3 linked regions of the Drosophila melanogaster genome follow. The protein of the gene in region 1 purifies or fractionates together with the protein of each later gene. This does not show direct contact. Each region holds a gene or a part of one and is shown on either strand. Other genes may lie near its edges. The genes, in order: CG5565, JMJD7 and CG8132.

Region 1 (3,221 bases):
TCCGGAGCGGGTTTCCCCCTCTTGACTTCTTCGTCGGAGCCGCTCAAAACCACGTGGTGGAAGACATCGAAGGGCCTGGAGTGCCGACGCGTCTTTATCCTAAACGAATCCCGACAGCAGCCACTTGCGATAGCCATGGGAATGTTGAACGCTTTGAGGTGATGCAGCAGACGCTCCACACCGGGCATCAGTCGAATGAATCCCATTTTGCCACGACACTGAAGTTCCTGCTGGTTCTCAAACTCCGTCATGCTGAAGGGCAGATTGAAGGTGTTTACGATTAGAGCAGCCTGCTCGGAATCTGGCTTTCCCATGCACCGCATCTTCAGATCGAAGCTATACGTGTGACCATAGGGATCCAGAATCCTTTGAACGGTTTCCGTTCTCAAACGCTCGCTGTCTATCAGCAGACCATCGAGTTCGAAAATGCAATGGGTAACTGGCTGAAAAGAGCACTGCCTAGAACCCGCCTCTTCCGCCGACATTTTGGTTCACTTGAATTTTGAATTATTTTTTATTTTATAGATAGAATACTAATTTTGACGGATCAATTTAGAGTGCTAGGGATTAGCCAAACTCGAATTTGGAGCAGGTGTCAAAGGGTGGTAGACCAAAGAGCTCAGGCTTAAAGTCCGCCATCGATTTTAGAACCATGGTGGCGCCCTTTTTCTGCTGCTTGGAAACGTTATCAGTTGGAATAAAGATGACTTGGGATCCCGCTGCCTTTCCGCCTATGAGGCCCACTGGAGCATCCTCGAATATAAGACACTTTTTGGGATCTGCGGGCGGATTGAATCGCGAGGCGGCCAGGAGATATATATCTGGGTAGGGCTTTCCTCTTCCCGGTCCAAGTGCCGGATCATCGCCACAGACAACGTGGTGAAAGGCCAGGAATATATCCTTGAAGGACTCGGCCTTCACTTTGAACAGTTTCCTAAACGAACTTGTGGCTATGCAGAAGGGTATGCGGTATTCGTGCAAGTGGAGAATCAGATCCCTGACCCCTGGCAGCAGAGCCACACTTCCCATGCTCTTATCAACAGCTGCCTCGAATTCCTTTTGAAATTCCGCAGGTGACAACGGAAGTTTTAGATCCTTGACGATGTGTTGGGAAAATGTACCGACCGGCATTCCCATATGCTGCGTCTGATCGACTTTGGTGTACGTTTTGCCATATTTAGCCAACAAGTCTTGAACCGTTTTGAGGTAGATGCCTTCGCTATCTGAAAGAGCAAAAAAAAAAGGTATGAATATAGAACCATTTATTCAATTAGAATATGTTAAATGTAATGCACCTATCAAGGTTCCATCGCAGTCAAAGATGACATGAGTGACGGGGCAGTAACACTTCTTGGTGGGCATTTCTACAATGGTCTAAGCTCTTCATATCACACACCGCATGCTCCTTAATTTAGAGGGTTCGCCTTGGCCAGAACGGTGCTTAATTTTCCAAAAACTAACTACAACAATTTGATTCTTCTGTTACTGAATTTTCATTAAGAATTTTGAGAGATAATTCCAAGAGGTCCTGATTACATTTTTTAAATTTCATTCCTCTCAGCGGTAGTTGCACTTTCGTAGTTTTAGCTATGTCTAATGCATGCGGCGCACGCTTTTTGGCCAGGACTCGCATGTTGTTACAAAGTTGCGTAATTGATTAAGCAGTTGGCAGCCAAGCCGCAAGAGACGTTTTCACCAGCGCGTCGCCGAAACTTTGGCTTTGGCCAATACGTGCCACAAAATGTTGGGAAGACAGAGGAAGTAGGTACGGTGGGTGGTGCATGCAGCATGTGGTGCTAAACTTTGTGTGGTGGGTGGAGCGGGTGGCGGGTCAAAGGTGAATGCGTCGCGACGCTTGATTTTGGCACGGGTTTAATAGCCAGGCGCACCTGGGCCGTATGAAACGAGTTAACGAAATGTTTGCGCATTTTGCGGAGTTGATAGCGGAAATTTATGATGCTTGATAGGCATCGGATCATGGATTAAAATAAAGATCAATGTCTTTTTTTAATACTATTATCCCCAGGCTTTTAAATTGAATTTAGTTTATTTATTCGATCCAACTTATTTGATAGTTAAGTAGCGCGACTCTAGCGTTTCCCCTTCCTTTTTATATTGCCACAATTTTAATTGATCCTTATTGAGAAAACCCACTTAGTATATTCAGAAGCAACTCCATTGCTTAACTTCAACCATCCGCATTGGCTACCGAAGGATGGGGCATTTTATTACCTTTTATTGGCAGCGCTGGCTCGGTTGCAGTCGCAACCATTGACCGTAACGCATTAATGTCCTGTGGCCGCCAAATCGAAACAGAAGTTGCGCGATGGCGAATGGCTTACTGGTTCACTGAGCTTGCATATTTTATGACCGAGTCCAACTTTAATTGGAACAATACCAATAAATGCCAAATGCAGATGGCCCACAGGGAGAGCCAAAAAGTTTGATGTGCTTTGACCGGGATATCGAAGGACCCGCCAGCCAGTGCGGAAATCAGCTCAAGGGGACCCATCCACACTCGCAGTCGCGTTCACACAAAGCCACAAGGACCGCAAGGATAACAACGGCTTTTGGCCGCCCTCGCTGCAAGTTTGCGGTTTTCGGGGACTGAAATGCAGGCTGGCAGACAAGCAGACCAGTTAACAATTCAATGAACGCAATTACAGCGCCCAGATTTCAGGTGGCAGGTGGAGTGTCCTGGTTGCCAGGACAGCGATTAGAGACGCGTTCAAATTAAACGTTTGCAACATATTGTTGCTGGTCAGCCAAGTGGGAATTCCCCTAACCAAGCCAAAAAAAAAGGAAGGTAATTCGTTAAATCCTTTGGTTGAGACCATGAGTTACTCTGTATAACACATTACTTGGCCTACTATTAGTTATTGATAAAACTAGTTGAAACAAATAGGAAGCAGATAAGGCATCTCCTATGATTGGTATACAATACATAAATATTTTTTTATTAAAGTTGCCTGCTGTATATACTAATGCCACATATCCTTCTACTCATACCGTGTACAAAAAATGGTGAAATATCATAAATGTGGGGCTTTCCAAAATGGCTGGCTGCATAATTTATGCACACAATTCGTCGCTGCTTTCGAATGTCCTGTTCCCGGAGTCCTGTTCCCATTTGGTAGCCACAACAGCTGACGCACAACGTCCGGATAATTGTCCGTCCTCCGGCTAACCGTCCGATTAATTAAAAGGCATTTTATTGACTG
Region 2 (3,447 bases), on another chromosome or scaffold:
ATATATGCCAAGATCAAGAAGATGGACATACCACGACAGCGGGACGAGTTCCTGCTTTGGTACCGTTCTTATTTGGAGCAGCTGTTTGTGGTGGAACAGCCGCAGGATAGCTGCAAGACCAAGTCGAAGGTGACACCTTCTGGAGCCAGTCCGGCCAAGCTGAAGAACCAGCGTGTGCGCAAACAGTCCCAATCCCAGTCGCAGGACTCGAATAACGATGCAGACTTGGCCGAGGCGGACCAAAAGAACGTCTCCTCCGCGGGAAATGGCGAACTGGAGTGCGAGAACAACGAAAATCCCGACGAGGAGGCAGATGGACAGGCTGCAGCGGAGCCTTCCGGCGCAGAAAAACAGGACGTCAGTCTCGAATAGACTAGAGAATAACCCAACAAAGCAAACATTCCTTATTTAAGAAGTCATCATCTGTACGGATATTTCATATTTCATTTACGAATTTCGGAAAAGATAAATCTTTTATGGTCGTGTCCTTAGTCGTAGTTCGCAACTCATTTTGGGTATCAGTTTTTTATTTAACACTAAATTATGTAACAATAATATATATAAATACACTGAAAACAAGAAGGGTTTTGAATTCACCTAACAATCCCTGAGAATAAATACTTCTCCGGATTCTATTAGCCACTCCTTGCGGACGTCATCTGCTCCAGCATGCGGTAGTAGCAGTACCGGCTATCGTAGTCCAGATCGTACCAGAAGTTCACGGCGATGCACTTGTGGCTTTGGGACACATGGTGGAACCAGTAGTTGGGCAGGTATAGGATGTCTCCCGCGTGAACACGTACTTTCAGAGGCTTGGCCCGGGCGTACTCCGGATATTTGGCCAGGTCGGGTGACAAGGGATCAACGCTGACCCATTCTGTGAACTGATCGCTGCCTTCCTCATCCCTCAACGGTTCAATGTAGAACTGACCACTATCTGAGGTCTTGTAAACGCCTGTAGGGTAAATTCCTCGCGGTACGCAGCTAAGCTGGTGCGGCGGGATGAGAACGAAGTCCTTGTGACCGGATATCACGCAGTACACGTTCTCGTATGGATCCTTGTGCATGGAGGTAACGGCGCGCTCGTCGCCCAGCCAAAAGTTAACAGCATCAGGCGGTTTGTTAAAGGACTGCTGCGCAAAGTCGAGATCACTGACCCGCAGATCAGCAGCCAGTTCCGGTAGGTCCACACTGAGGTTAGAGTTCTGCTTTTGTATGTAGTGGACAGCACCAGTGGGATCATCCAGGCGGCGGACCACCTCGGACAGCTTCATTTTCGTCTCCAGCGGCAAAACGAAGTACTCCTGTCCATTTTGAGTGGCCAAGCCGTCGGCATAGCCATTCGGGGTGATTGCCACATCCACGCTCCTGTCCCCGAGAGCCTCGATCAGGTACTTTGGCGTCCATTTGCCAATCGCGGGCCAATTGAGTGCCTTGCGAATGACCACCGGCTGGTTTTTGGAGTAGAATTCCCGACAAAACTCCAAGGCGGTTGGAATCCTGTCCAGCTCCACTACGCTGCTCCCGATGCACAGCTCCTCCGCTTCCTGGAGCAGAACATCCAGAGCTCTTTCGACCTCGGACATGCCGGTAAACAACACGCACTAACGCATTTTCCGCTAGAGTGGACCTTATCAGCGCAGTGTAATGTGGGGTTCTGGTTTTCAGTGAAAGTTAAACTGAAGTGCTGCAGTGAATTTAATTAGTTTCACCAAATGACGTATTAAATAAATAATATATTATACACAAATTAAATTGAAACATTTATTATTGTAATTTTTGTTACGTTTTTAAAGTAAGTAAGCAAGGTATTCCGAAAAAATCGATAAGGGTCAAATTCGCGTCGGTGAAATGCAAAAATGCTAAGAAAAGAAAGATCTTACTATCTATCTTATAGAGGTTGTCTAGCGTGCATTTTGATTTTGATTTTGCTTTTAATAATTAATTTGAATTTGGTGGTATAGAAATATAAGTGGTATTTTCTGAAACTGCAATGGTGTTGAGAACTGTGGTATTTATTTGCAAGTCGCTTGGTATTTTCCAGCGCTTTCGGCGCGGTCCCACTGGACGCGAGTGTGTTTGCGAGTGCGGGACTTTCAAGACGCGCGCGAAGCTGCGGACAGTCGGATAGGAAGTGGAGCGGACTGGAATGCAAACAAGACGACGCGTGTCGAGTGTTTGTGATAGAAACAAATTGTTTTCGAATACGGTCGGTGCTCTATTTGTTTTGTGAAATACAATTGATTTCACCAGCGACTCAGAGGAGGATCAGGGTCGTCACCTCTTTTGCATGCCCGACATTCGCGCGGATTCGAAGTTCAGCTGGTGCGATTCGAGCAACAGGTGGCGGATGACGGATGGATGGATGGGTGGCTAAATGGATCGTGTCGATGGGCCACGGGATTTGGCGAAATTTGGTGCTGATAGACTTATAGACTGACATAGGCCCGGCATTATTATTTGTGGCCAAAAGGGGTCAGGCGGTGTGCGCGTGAGGAAATTGAATTGACTTGGTGGCCACCGGCGGCGGTCCGAAATCGAAATCTGTGTCGCAAATGTGGCACTAATAAATTATCGCACATTCGCGCGCCGCACAGCGAGTGCTTCATTAATGCAGGAATCGCAAATGACGGAGAATATCTAGTTTTGCAGCGGCACTGCGTTTGTTTCATTTTGCCAGGAGAACGTGACCAAACTTTCCAAGTGCCGCGTGAATTGGATCTACCCAGCCAATAGGTCTTAATAGAGCTAACAATTATTTTTGGTAGCCACGCTTCGCGAAGCTGGGCGCAAACAAAAAAGAACGCAAACTCCGTGGCCTATAAATATCGGTCTTCGGAATTACTAAATCCAATTGCAGTCCAATTAGCAGTCGGACGCCAATGAAGCGGCTGTGAAAGAGTAAGTACGATGCTCTTTTGAAGCAAATACTTGCAAACGTCGAAGTTTACACACCCTAACGATTAAAGAATGTTTAACTTAACTGAAACATAAAAAATTATGCTTAAATAAATAAATTGATGTCTTAATTTGCCAATCAGACTCTGTGACTCTAAACACACAGTTCCAATCAGACAAATTTTCAAATCTAATCTGCTTAAAAATAAACCAAAGTGATTGATAGAGTCTTATGTTGATAGCTATTTAACTGATATAGGCTATAATAGACACTTCCGGTGAAAGTTCCCTTCAATGCATTACAAACCATAGACTGCAGCGCATATACCCTCCAAAAAAAGAGAATCAAAATCAACAAACGCCAACAGTGCGTATGACAGTTCTTACGCAATTAAAATACCATCACTGGCTGTAAGATTTACATAAATTCGGCCTGCGAAACTGAAAACTGATAAGCGTCATAAAAAAAAAATGAGGGGCAGCAACAACAATTGGTGTGTGAACCGAAACCCGAAAGCCGAAAAGCCAGTTGGGGAAACAATGCCAAAC
Region 3 (3,769 bases), on another chromosome or scaffold:
AAGAATCAGCTATTGAACGAGTCAACGAAGCAACTGCTTCATGCCACCCATCAGATCCGCGAAATTCAGCTAGATATGCTTAAGCAACTGAAGTTCCTGGCCAAGATTCGTTTCCTCAACCTGCCCGCCACCGATGTAATCAGCCTAAGTGCCGAAAACCTTAACATTCTCCAACGCATGGTCCTGCACACTGGCGTGGGCATTCCCGAGGAGACACTAAAGTTGTCCAGCGCCAGCACAAGTCCACTTTGTGAGGCGGAGAAGTACGCGGTTAGGGTAAGTACAGCGATAGTTAAAGTGATTCAAACATCCAGTTAATGGTACACCTTATTACCGTCCCACCAGGCCTTGGAATTCATTAGTCAGCCCCTGATGGCCACCGATGAAGCCATACGAGCACTTTTCGACCAGGCCCAGCGACCCCACTACGTGCAATCACCTGCATCCGAAGTAACTCCTGCCTGCGATAATCAGCAGCTAGATAAAATGCAATAGTTTTTCGACAGAAATCAATGTTATATGTGTGTGTAGGCCTAATAAATTTTATATACAATCAAATAACATAAATGCAATGCTTTAAAGGTGCTTAAAACGACAGATTCTTGAATTTTTGAAGATTTCCCATTTCCCATTTAAAGCAATCCTTTATTTGGCCTTCCTTTCGGTGGCGTACAGATCTAGACGTCTTTGCCCAAAGACGGGAATCTGCTGACGCACCTGCTCCACCTCGGAGAAATCTATATCGGCCACCACGATTTCCTCGCCTTCACTGGCACTCTGCTGCACCTTGGCCCATGGATTCACCACCATGGAATGGCCATAGGCTACATACTCGGCGCTTGTGTCACGGGCTGGTGATGTTGTGACCACAAAGAGTTGGTTGTCATTGGCACGGGATCGCTGCAATAGCTCCCAGTGCAGTGGACCAGTGGTCATGTTGAATGCAGCCGGATAGATGATCATCTCGCAGCCTGCGTTGCGATAGAGCCTCGCCATCTCCTCGAATCGAATATCGTAGCAGATGCCGATGCCAATCTTGTGGCCATCTACGTTGATGATGGTGAAATCATTGCCTGCGGACAGCGTTTCCGACTCCTTGAAGCGAATGCCACCCTTGACATCTATGTCAAAGAGATGCATCTTGCGATGCTTGGCCACAAGGTCACCAGTGGGTGACCAAACCGTGCAGGTGTTGTAGATGGCATCGTTTTCGCCCAGTTCAGGGATTGTTCCGCCCACGATGTACACCTGGTGCTTCCTGGCCAAATTGGAGAGCTGTTGCGAGGTATAGCCATCGGGAATGGTCTCGGAGTACTCCCGAAAGTACTTGGTGCCGTATGGAGCATTAAAGCACTCCGGCAGAGTGATCAATCGGGGTTTATGCTCCTTGACCGCCGCCTCGATTTTGGTGACGGCGTTTTGGACATTGGCCACTTTGTCCTTGGAACCCTTGAGCTGCAGCAGCGCCAAACGCATGACTATTAAATAAGAAATATTTAAGTGGATCTCTTTGAAATTTTGAGAAACACTTACTGTTGCTAGTTTTGCTCATATTGCTGCAATTAAATGTTATCTTTTCGCGGTTTGATAACAGATTTCATCGCAAGCAAAACAACAACAGGTTATCGCAGGGGCGTAGTAAAAGGGATCAATATTTATAAAACGCATTATTTAACCTCATATTAATACGCATATACTTAGCCAAAGCATACTTAACCAAAAGAATATAGCATTAAATTGTGTATAAAATCCTAACTTTTCTAACAAAAAATAAATAATTTGCAACCCCCATAAGCCCATGTTTTCATGGCAATCTGGCAAGGTCTGCAGTGCTCGAAAGTGTCGTACAGTGGGCAGCGCAGCCAAGTTCACGTCGTGCGCGAACAGGGTTGCCACCTTTCTTTCTAGTTTCGTCTCTTTGAGGTATGCACGTGTTCAATTAACAATTTCACGCAAATTCGCCGAAATGTGTGAAAAAATTGTGAAAATATACCACCAAATGCAGCCCAAACTGCACCCACCCTAGTGTAACTCCAAACTAATAATGATTTTCACCGCTTTTGCACATGTAACCCACGAATCGCCACGACAAGCAGCAACAACAACAGCAAAATGGTCCAACGTCTGACGCTCCGGAGACGCCTGTCCTACAACACACGCTCCAACAAGCGGCGCATGTAACTATCCAACTGCAATACACCTCACCAATATGAAAAATAACGCACATTTGCAATTTACAGTGTTCGCACGCCCGGTGGTCGTCTGGTTTACCAGTATGTGAAGAAGAACCCCACCGTGCCCCGTTGCGGCCAGTGCAAGGAGAAGTTGAAGGGTATCACCCCCTCCCGCCCCAGCGAGCGCCCCCGCATGTCCAAGCGCCTGAAGACCGTGTCCAGGACCTACGGTGGAGTGCTGTGCCACAGCTGCCTGCGCGAGCGTATCGTGCGCGCCTTCCTCATCGAGGAGCAGAAGATCGTCAAGGCCCTGAAGAGCCAGCGCGAGGCGCTCGTCAAGCCGGTGAAGGCCCCCAAGGCCAAGCCCGAGCCCAAGAAGAAGCCCGCTGCTGGAGCCAAGGGAACCAAGGCCGGTGCCGGCAAGGTCACCAAGGGTGGTGCTGGCGCCAAGGGAGCCGCTGGCAAGAAGCCCGGCCAGAAGCCAGCCGCTGGCAAGCCCAGGAAGTAAACAGCCCACGCAACGAGTTCGGTGTACTGCTAAATAACTTTTAAAATAAATTGGTTTTTTCCAACTGGATTTACTGTTTGTATTTTTAGTTTGACAGTCCAGTTGGATTGTGTACTTTACTTATTGGTTGTTCTTGTTTTCCAATCAGACCGTTCGACTTTTAGACATTTATAGCAAAACGATTTCAAAAGTGAGAATATAATATAATTAAAATAAATAAATTTTAAATATTTCGTTTGTCACAGAGTTTTACTGTGCTCGTAGTCAAACTTTTGATGATTTTTCAGATTTATTGATAATTATAAAAAATAAGATCCAGTGTTATTTTTCAAAGTGTCAATTTGTGAGAGTGATCACTGTATATTCATTGTATGACTAGGTGGCAACTCTGTTGAGAACAGCTGTTCGGCAGAAGCAATTGGAATTTTCTTAAAAATCACGTAAGTCGTTGATTGTTTATAGTTTCTTGCAAATGCAATTAATATTTTGTGTTTAGAATGGCGGGAACCAAGGTGCTGCGCTCCCTGCTGCACGAATTGCGCCAGGCATCTCCAAATGGCTGCATCAAGGACTCTCTGGCCGCGCGCTACATTTTGGCGCAATACAAGAAGTTCGCCACCACGGAACAACAATTCTGCAAGGCGCGCAACGAAGCGACTTTCCTGGGTCAAACCTACCTGACCTACCTAGCCAGCCAGCGCCGGTACTTGGAGCTCTACAAGGAATATCACGGAAGGGGCGAGAGATCCGTAAGGGATACCGCCGATTTGGTGGGCTTCAAGCTGCCCTCGGATCCCAAGTGATCTAGTTATATAGAAAGATAGTTACTAGCGTAGTGCGATTAAAGCGTCCCGATTTTGCAAACTCCGTGCTTGTGTTTGCTGTCTACTGAATCATCTGCATGAGCATGGTTATAACCCGGTAGGAGACGCTCATCAGCTGCAGTTGAAAGCGAAATTCACATAATGTCATATAAAGTATACGTGGTGTTTGCATTTTACCTGTTTAAAGGTGTCCAGCGAAATGGACAGGTAGCCCATGGCATTAAGTTCCACGGGCTGCTGCGCCCTGATAATGATTATGAGCA

Evidence for each region.
Region 2: the proteins of CG5565 (region 1) and JMJD7 purify together in Drosophila melanogaster (affinity purification with mass spectrometry, with the first as the bait; one large-scale study listed by BioGRID). This does not show direct contact.
Region 3: the proteins of CG5565 (region 1) and CG8132 purify together in Drosophila melanogaster (affinity purification with mass spectrometry, with the first as the bait; one large-scale study listed by BioGRID). This does not show direct contact.

What each region holds. Positions count from the first base shown.
Region 1 is NT_033779.5:1,354,407-1,357,627, forward strand, and holds CG5565 (uncharacterized protein), read right to left. Parts: upstream 1,519-3,221; 5' UTR 1,363-1,518; coding exon 1,296-1,362; intron 1,224-1,295; coding exon 568-1,223; 3' UTR 505-567; downstream 1-504. Other genes in the region: CG31924 (uncharacterized protein), read right to left, coding at 1-485.
Region 2 is NT_037436.4:13,448,674-13,452,120, forward strand, and holds JMJD7 (jumonji domain containing 7), read right to left. Parts: upstream 1,611-3,447; 5' UTR 1,587-1,610; coding exon 636-1,586; 3' UTR 514-635; downstream 1-513. Other genes in the region: cmb (combover), read left to right, coding at 1-372. UniProt on the Drosophila melanogaster protein: Bifunctional enzyme that acts both as an endopeptidase and 2-oxoglutarate-dependent monooxygenase.
Region 3 is NT_033777.3:9,399,350-9,403,118, reverse strand, and holds CG8132 (uncharacterized protein), read right to left. Parts: upstream 1,625-3,769; 5' UTR 1,553-1,624; coding exon 1,534-1,552; intron 1,479-1,533; coding exon 646-1,478; 3' UTR 501-645; downstream 1-500. Other genes in the region: CG9356 (uncharacterized protein), read left to right, coding at 1-276, 346-495; RpL34b (ribosomal protein L34b), read left to right, coding at 2,113-2,177, 2,241-2,682; CG34117 (uncharacterized protein), read left to right, coding at 3,180-3,485; Or85f (odorant receptor 85f), read right to left, coding at 3,568-3,621, 3,684-3,769.